2 linked regions of the Oryzias latipes genome follow. Each later gene encodes a partner of the first gene's protein in a complex. Links are inferred from orthologs where the notes say so. Each region holds a gene or a part of one and is shown on either strand. Other genes may lie near its edges. The genes, in order: wrap53 and dkc1.

Region 1 (4,361 bases):
TCCAGACCTGTAACTGGACGGGTCGCCGGCACCATCCGCTGGAGTCTCCAGGTTTATCATTCCATCTGCGGAAGAGTTCAGGATTCGGCCGAACTCTCTCCAGCCTCCATTGGAGGAAAAAAAAAGAAGAAGATTGTGATGCACCTCAGTGTGGAACTACTAAGGTGTTCTGTCTTCGTTGGGAGGGGGGACACTGGAGGAACTCCTGCAGCCGTGGAGCCGGACGAACTGAAAGATTTTGTACAAAAAGAGAGAGGGGGGGGGGGGGGGGGCATCAACCCACACACCAACCCAAAGGTTCACACTACGTGCACACGTTCAGCAGAAGTCACATGGGAGGAGGCTCGGTTGTAACGGGGAAATCACCCAGACGGCGACGCTCGTCACTATAAACGCTGAGCTCTGTAAATAATGGATGTTTTTTTTTTTTTTTCCTTCAGTGGGTTTTTTGTTTTATTACTCTGTTCAACATGCCTTAAATTGTATAGTTGAGTCCCGAATGACTAACTGAAGTTTTCTCTCAATGCTAAGTTTAAGTTGGAAACTATACTCGAGCTACAAAAAAAAAGAGAAAAAAAAAGAGGATTGTCATCTAACTACATGTGCATTTGATCAACTTTACTAGTACAGACTAGAGCTGCAAATGTTTTTGATCTAAACTCTGCTGGTGGTTGGCTTTTCTTTTCTTTTTTTTTTAATTAAAGGGTGAATTTGTTGGGGTTTCGCTGAAGGCTCAAAAAGGGCTGACGTCTGTCGCGTGTGGAGCTGAGCTGACCGGGGGTGGCATGCCCCCCCCCAAAAGAAAAAGATTATGCACAAGAAACCAGTCCGGCTTTCTCACTTATGAATCTGATTGTAAGGTTTTTAGTCAACAAATTGAGTTTTGATAAAGAAATATGCAGATTTTAAATAAAAATAATGTTCCTGTAAATAATTCTAAATCCTCAATTTTGTTTAGTTTCCAGTTGCTAATGGTCTAACGTTTAAATAATGAAATTCCACTCAAAATCCATTTGTGATTAGGCAAAAATGTTTGTTTTCTGGGCTGTACGTCGCTTTTACTGTACTGGAAACTTTTGAAGTCAGATGAAGTCAGCTTGTGGCGTTCGCAACCTCCTCGGTTAAACGAACTTCAGCGAGTGACTGCGCCCCAGTCAGCTCAGCTCCTCTGCTTAAGTATTTTAATATAAACAAGAAATAATTAAAATTGTTTCCGAGAACAACTGAAAGATTTGTAAATAGTTCTGCTCCTGTTTGTTTGAAGAACAAAACAAATACTAAATAAATAGTATTTAGCTGTGGAAACGTCTTGTTTGTCGGGCCTCGACGCTCAGTAAACGCAACACTTTCAGACAACTCGACGGAACTCTCGCGAGACATCACGACGTGAGCCATTGGGAAATTGATGGAACTCTCGCGAGATTTAACAGACATCACATGGAAGACCTGTCTTTGCCTCTCACCATGAGCGCGTGAGCTGAAAGTTTCCGCGCGAAAGAGTTGCAGTTTTCACCGCCTCTGTGTGAAACATCGAAACCGCCGAGAGGATTTCTGCCAAACTGCGCGGAGAACTACTGCGCAGGTACGTAGCTTCACAGTGCTAGCGTCGGCTAAAGCTAGCCGGTGCTAACTGAAGTGTTAGTTTTGTTCAGTATGTTGGTAAGTTCACTTTAGAACAGACTGTTAGCGATAAACTGAAGTACTCGACACGTTTAGTGGTAGTTTGTGTCTTATTGAGTGAAAGTGCGTCACTAATTTCGGACTTAATCCACGTTTGGTGAGTGTTTCGCGTCACAACAACACAACTAGCTACAGGTGTTTGGGTTCTTCCCCTCCAGGTGTTCGGGTGTTGTGATGTCCACGAACCCCCGCAGACTCAAACACCCCCACTGCAGGAGGAAGCACTACCCCAGTAGTACCTACATCACCCACGTCTGACGGCTCCACCCGCGGACTCCACACCGACCGAGACGCTGGAGCGCGGCGGGGGGGTAAAACGGAGGCCATGTCTGATTTGGGGGATGGGTGTGAAAGCGGGGGGGTGACGGGCGCGGGGCAGGACTCTGAGGCGGACGGCGAGCCGCCCCAACCGACGGCGGCGGCGGGTGGAGAGGAGGGGGCCCCGCCAAGCCCCAAGCGGCCCCGGAGGAGCGAGGAGGAGGAGGATCAGGATGGGCAGGAAAAGCCCCCCCCGTCCGAACATGGTACAGTCACGTGACCATCTGACAGGTCTTCACGAGTTCAGCTTCAACAAGATTTCTTCTGCATGAACTTTTGCCGCCAGAAGGAGCAGAGGGGGCGCAGCAGGGCGGAGAGGAGGAGGAGGAGGAAGAGCAGCAGAGATGGGAGGGATGTCACCAGAATGGAGATCCAGAGGAGGAGGAGGAGGAGGAGGGGGGCAGGAGTGACAGATCTGCAGACAGCCCCACTGGAGAACAACAGTAGGTGGATCTGGAGCATGAACTGGAGTGAATACCCCGTGCCTCAGGGGCACGTTACCGTTGGGAGTGGGGTCATCTGGACCCCACAGGACAGCACAAGGGTTAAGGCAGATGAAGTTCTCGTAGACGTGTCGTACGCGGAAGATTTTTCATTTCTAGTTTTGGATTTTCTTCCTTTTTTATTTTTTTTATTTTTAAGGCGTGTTTGAAAACTGTCCTGCTTTGCCTTCAGCCTCGGCTTGGATTTTACCCACGATCCCCAGATGCTGACCGGCTCCTGGACGGAGTTCTCCAAGTTCACGGAGAATTACCTCAAAGGGTGCAAATGGTAACCCCCCCCCCCCCCCCCGTTCTTTGGAAAAAAATGGTCTAATCCACAGTCCCGGTAAGCGGGCTGCTGACGGACGCCGTCTCCTGTTGCAGGGCCCCCGACGGCTCCTGCGTCCTGACCAACAGCGCCGACAACGTGCTCCGCCTCTACAACCTTCCGCCAGAGGTGTACAGCTACAGCTGGGGGGCGCTCTCTGAGATGGTGAGTTTGGGACCCGTAAAAAAAAGAATCTGTTGGGGATTGCATTTAAACTCCAAATGTCCTCCACCCGTTGAGTTTGGCGGTGCAGCCTTTCCCGTCCGGATTACCGAGCCTCACCGCATCTGTAGTCATGGAAACCCGTTTGCACCCCTTTATTTTTTTCAGATCAAAACAAACAGCTGTCCACTCATCCCCGTGGAGAACTTGACCCTGGTTACCGTGGCAACAGATCTAGAACCTGTTGTGGACTTTGTCCAACCTCACATTAGCCTCAAAATGCCCTTGTTTCTGTCAAGCAAAATAAACCCCCCAGCCATGATTCTGCCACCCCCGTGCTTTACATAGGGAAGGGAAATGGGGCCAAAACAGAGTTTTTCAGTTGTTAAGAGGCTCAAATAAGGCTTTTGTTGATATTTTTGGGAGCAATTGTGTCTTTTTTTTGTTGTTTTGTTTTGTTTCACACCTGTTTCTCTGGAAGTCAAGTTTTCAGGCAGAAATTTGTGGAGAAAAAACACCGAAGGGGATAGAAGGACAGGAAGGAGGAGGTGGAGAAAAGGTTTTGGACTTTAAAAGAGTCTGAGATGATGGGACTAGAAGGAATTGGCTGTTTTGGAGGCATTTCCCAACATCTCAGGATGTCAAAACCCAGTTTGTATGATTAGCGTTTAACAGCTTTAGATTCTTTGTCCTCCGCTCTAGAAGGCGGAGACGTCGAATCACCTCGAACACGTGGAGCGAGCCTTCGTCATCACCTTTCTCTCCATCTCTGCTTGTCTTGTGGGCTCAGAGTCCGGTGCTGAGGATGGCTGAAGGAGACACCGTCTACGACTACTGCTGGTACCCCAACATGAACTCTGTGGAGCCGGACACGTGTTTGTGAGTTCCACGCCGGAGCCTGAAGGCAGCATTGATCACCTCTCGGTTGTGGCCCTCGCCACAGTCCATAAGTGTGTCGAGTCTAGCAGGTGTGAAGGCTCGCCTGAAATCTGGTCACTCAAATTCATCCCCCGTGGCCCACAAAGACATTCTTTGTGTTGGAAATTGCACCATGAAAGTATAAAATTATACTTTTTTTTATTCACTCTGACTTAAAAAAATAATTATTTATTGAATCTTTCCTTGATTTTTACCCAAAACAAAAGCTGTAAAAATAAAAACCAAAGCCTGCAGGTCCCAGAGATGTCCACTTGGGGGCAGTAAAAGAGCTGTGAGCAGGAAAACTAAGAAGTTTTTCCTTTTCAGTTTGAAGACAAGACAAAAACAGCAACAATTGGATATATGAACGCGGAGAATGTAGAGACCAAAATGAGGAAAAATATATAAGCGACTCCAAAAAAAAGATTTAGTATGAGGAAACAGAATCAGACGGGATCTGACCTAAAATGGAT
Region 2 (4,354 bases), on another chromosome or scaffold:
TTTAAATGTAATGTATTATTATTATTATTAAATGGAGCTTGGAAACTTCATTCTGGTCTCAGCAGTGTAGGAAAGAAATCTTTGCTTTTCAGTTCTTTCCATCCATGCATGTTCAGTAGTCGAGACGAGAGTGGTAAAGCAAACAAGGATTCAACCGGATTAAAAATACACGAAGTTTATTTCCCTGACAATAGTTCTAGAGCACAGATTAAACATTAATGCAGATATATCTGGATTCTCAAGTAAAGACCTACTGACGCACAAGTTACATGCGAATTACATGCGAATCGTAGATTTTCCTAAGAACAGTAAAGTCCGTCCAAAACAGTCTTTTAAACATGTGTTTGACACTCCTCCTTCTGAAAACATCATGACCACTGGATCTCCGCCCCGGAACACTCTGATTCGTCAGCCGGTATCCCTTGTGCTTCCACCGGCCAATAGCTGAAGGTTGCCAACTCCAGATCCGCTCGCCTTTCAAAGGGGCGACAGTGGCTCAGGTGGTTGAGCGGGTCGTCCAATGATCGAAGGGTTGGCGGTTCAATCCCCGCTCCCACCAGCCAAAATGTCGTTGTGTCCTTGGGCAAGACACTTCACCCTCCTTGCCTCCAGTGTGGCTCCACTGGTGTGTGGATGTGTATGAATGATCCCGGTGATGGTCAGAGGGGCCGTAGGCGCGAAATGGCAGCCACACCTCTGTCAGTCTGTGGCTGTGGCTACAACCGTAGCTACCATCACTAAGTATGAATGAGGAGTGAATGAATAATGGACACAATGTAAACGCTTTGGGTGTCTTGAAAAGCGCAGATAAATCTAATCCATTATTATTATTATTATTATTTCACCGGCGCACACAATCCAACGATCAAGAGTCCTCATCTGGTCCAAATAAATCCTACCAGCCAAACGGATACTCCATCACCGGCACGTGATCAGAGGTCAGCTTCATCCTCCACATGAGAACAGGAATCTGAACACTTTCCCTAGGATAAGATGTTCAACCCAGATAGTAGAAATGTAGTCCATGACATATTTATTCCATCTCTGGAAACTCCTAGATTTGCACAAAGAAGTCCTAGTTGCTGCTGCAACTACAAAGCACAAGTGAAGGTCACTGGAGAATAAGTCCTGATGAGTTCACTTCACACTAAAGATAAAGCTGTAACATAATGAAGAATAAGATATTAAAACATACATTTTCTACAGCAGTTTCCTTCAGAAACAGATCTTCATAAATGACATTCATTAAGTGTCTCTTTGGGTTGGAAGTTCGGGAAATAACCTTCTTATTTTATAAGTCTTATTCCTTTTCTGAGAGTTTGTCAGTGCCCGAGACTCTGGATGAATAAAGAGCCTAAACCCTGGTTAACTAGTTTTTCGGTAATCCCAATACATGAGAGGAAATCCAAAAGCTCTCTAGCCCCGCCCCGGATGTGGCTCGATCGTCTTCCGGTGCTCGTAGACCAAAGAATAAGAAGGCGGACGCTCGCACGCAGTCACTTGGAAGAAGATGGCGGAGGTTGAAGGTAAGGGCGACCCACGTGGTTCTGAAGTTTTGCCAGAATCAGAACCGCTACCCTTAATGCAAAATCAACACGCCCGCACGGCGTTACTGACGCAGTTCCCATCGCACGCGCGGCGCGTTCTGCAGAGCAGGCCGCGCACCAAAGCAGGCCGAACCGCGCCACGTGCGTCCTGCTCCGGGCGGCCTACACGATAAACCGGGTCAGATTCGGTTCGCTTTTGGAGGTCTGCTACTTCAGGGGTTGAGCGCTTCTTTGGATTCCCGCCCCGCGTGGTCCTTCCAGTCCACGTGACGTGCAGGAAACGCCACGTGCGTTGGGAATAAGTCGTTAGTTTTTAACAAACACCTGTTTGATTCAAATGTGCGCGCGCCACAATCAAAATGGGAAACACAATTAGGTTCTGACTAGTTTATTATATGACAGTTTTTGGGTCGAACGGATCAGAGCCGAACTGCAGTAAAACGTGGCTCCGTTTCATGTCTGCACCGGTTCTAACCGGTTTACGATCAGTGCAAACGTTTCCACCTGCGGGGTCTCCAAAACGGTCAAAGATTTTGTTGATGATTCGAGACAAAAATCTACGAATTCAAGATTTTTAAGGATCCATTGAGATGACTTTAGCAGTAAAGCAGCCCCAAAGCATGATGCTTCCACCCCCATGCTTCACAGTAGGTAAATGGTGTTCTTAGGACGCCACTCCACTAATCTGCTGTTCCGTGTTTCTGCAGTAGCATCTGTTAAAAAGAAGAAAGGGAAGAAAGTCTGCGATGAAGAAGTTGGGGTGAGTGATGTTGTCTGGAGTAAAGGTAATCTCATGGATCTGCTGGAGCTGACTGTTTGTTTTCCAGGAGATCCAGAGGAGTGCTGACTTTTTCATCCAGCCAGAGTCCAAGGCAACATCTTTAAACACATCACAATGGCCCCTCCTTCTCAAGGTCAGCTCCACCTCGACCCCTGCCTGGGTCATGTGACATGTTGGCAATGTTGGTGTGACATGATGAAGCAGTTTATCCATTCTCTGAGCACTGCAGTCTTGGCGTTTCTTTGCCCGTCTCCATCTTTGGGGCCTGGTCTCTGCTGGTCACCAACTGTGACCTGGCGTTCTGCCAGGTTATAGGAGGTGACCGTGTAGAGGTGGAAGCGACCAGACTGTTGTCAAGATGATGCTCTGCTCTGATCACACGCCGCCTTGAAACAGGAAATGTGTGAGCAAACAAAAAAATGGCTATGTGGTCCAGGCTTCACTATCCGGCAGTGATTCAGATGGCTACTTTTTGGAGAGTATGTTACGAAAAAGTAGTACCAGCATGGGGTCAAAGGGCATGAGAATATTTGGGCAACCTGGTACTGGGGTTGGTTTCTCCCTTAGACAAAAAGCTAATTCAGGATTTAACGCCAGGTGTTCGCTTCGGTTGGTACATCGACCTCAAACTGTTTCCTGTTTTGGCAGAACTTCGATAAGCTGAATGTGCGGACGGGCCACTACACTCCCCTGCCCAACGGCAGCAACCCCCTGAAGAGGAACATTGCAGATTACGTCAGGTACATTCACGTTGCGTAGGGTCAATGCTATGACGCAGATTGCATAATGACACTGCCTCCTCTACTTAAGGTCTGGCTTCATCAATTTGGACAAGCCAGCCAACCCATCATCCCATGAGGTGGTTGCGTGGATTCGTAGGATTCTGCGAGTGGAGAAAACTGGACACAGTGGGACGCTGGATCCCAAGGTCACTGGCTGCCTGATTGTGTGTATAGACCGTGCCACACGATTGGTCAAATCGCAGCAGAGTGCAGGTACGGGTCCTGAGGGTGTCTGGCTGGGTTTTGGGCTTCAGGTCTGATTGGCAGATTACAATCACTAAGACCTGAGAGGGGATGGGTCTGATCCAGAACTAGAGCTGAGGATCCAAAGGCTTTTCTACTCTTCATTCTCTTCAATGTCCCCCTCCACTTCATCCGTACTGATCTAAACCAGACCCCCACAAATCTGTTTCTATTTAGTTTTTGCTTTATCTAAAACTGTGAATTTTAGTCCAGACAATGAAGATGGAAAAGGACACTCTAGCTTTAATAAATGAAAAGACAAAAAACGGATACTGATGATCCGAAATCAAACCTTTTGCTGATGCTTTAGTAACGCATATGGAAGCACGGGGGTCATTTCAGCAGCAGGCCATCTCTGACCGCCCTGGTCCACGTCAGGACGTTTGCTGAATATTTTTGTGCGCGCACACCTGGCTGCTGCAGTCAGCTGGCCTGACGTCTGTCTTTGCAGACACCATGTGACCATGGGTCCGCTACAGAGTCAAAGTACAAGGATCTGCTTCTGTCACCGGGCGATCCTCAGTCTGCCAGCACTGTGTGATTGGCCCACTTCACCTAAGCACTGGTTCCTTTAGCTGCGAGCCATTTGGGAGCCGTTGATTGGTTGAAGCCTGACTGTTCTGTGTTGCAGGTAAAGAGTATGTGGGGATCGTCCGGTTGCACAATGCAGTGGAGAACCAGCACGCTCTGGCCCGGGTAAGTCTGACCTGATGATCCAGTAAGAGCTTGCCTTAAGCACACACGGCTGAGGCTTGAGGTTCTGGAAGGTCTTGCATTTAAACCCTCCAGAGTAAAATCCTATTTCAATTCTTTTTTTTTTTATTGCAAACAAAAAGAGAATTGTTACATACATGAAATACAATGAAACAAAGAAGTGGTTTCATTTTGTGCACGGAGCCTCTTTGTATTGAAAACTGAAGGTTGCAGACATGAATGTGGGTCATTTAATCAGGAACAACATATTCTTGTGTAATCAGAACATTTCAGGTCATTGTTTTCTT

The links.
Region 2: wrap53 (region 1) and dkc1 share a complex: the UniProt entries of both Homo sapiens proteins name them as parts of the telomerase holoenzyme complex. The link is inferred for Oryzias latipes from reciprocal best matches to the Homo sapiens genes WRAP53 and DKC1.

The regions. Positions count from the first base shown.
Region 1 is NC_019876.2:6,272,859-6,277,219, forward strand, and holds the start of wrap53 (telomerase Cajal body protein 1), read left to right. Parts: upstream 1-1,398; 5' UTR 1,399-1,659; intron 1,660-1,838; 5' UTR 1,839-2,005; coding exon 2,006-2,204; intron 2,205-2,284; coding exon 2,285-2,441; intron 2,442-2,673; coding exon 2,674-2,769; intron 2,770-2,864; coding exon 2,865-2,973; intron 2,974-3,760; coding exon 3,761-3,849; intron 3,850-4,361. UniProt on the Homo sapiens protein: RNA chaperone that plays a key role in telomere maintenance and RNA localization to Cajal bodies. Specifically recognizes and binds the Cajal body box (CAB box) present in both small Cajal body RNAs (scaRNAs) and telomerase RNA template component (TERC).
Region 2 is NC_019880.2:47,690-52,043, reverse strand, and holds the start of dkc1 (H/ACA ribonucleoprotein complex subunit 4), read left to right. Parts: upstream 1-1,434; 5' UTR 1,435-1,510; coding exon 1,511-1,526; intron 1,527-2,254; coding exon 2,255-2,307; intron 2,308-2,374; coding exon 2,375-2,461; intron 2,462-2,976; coding exon 2,977-3,068; intron 3,069-3,138; coding exon 3,139-3,323; intron 3,324-3,984; coding exon 3,985-4,049; intron 4,050-4,354.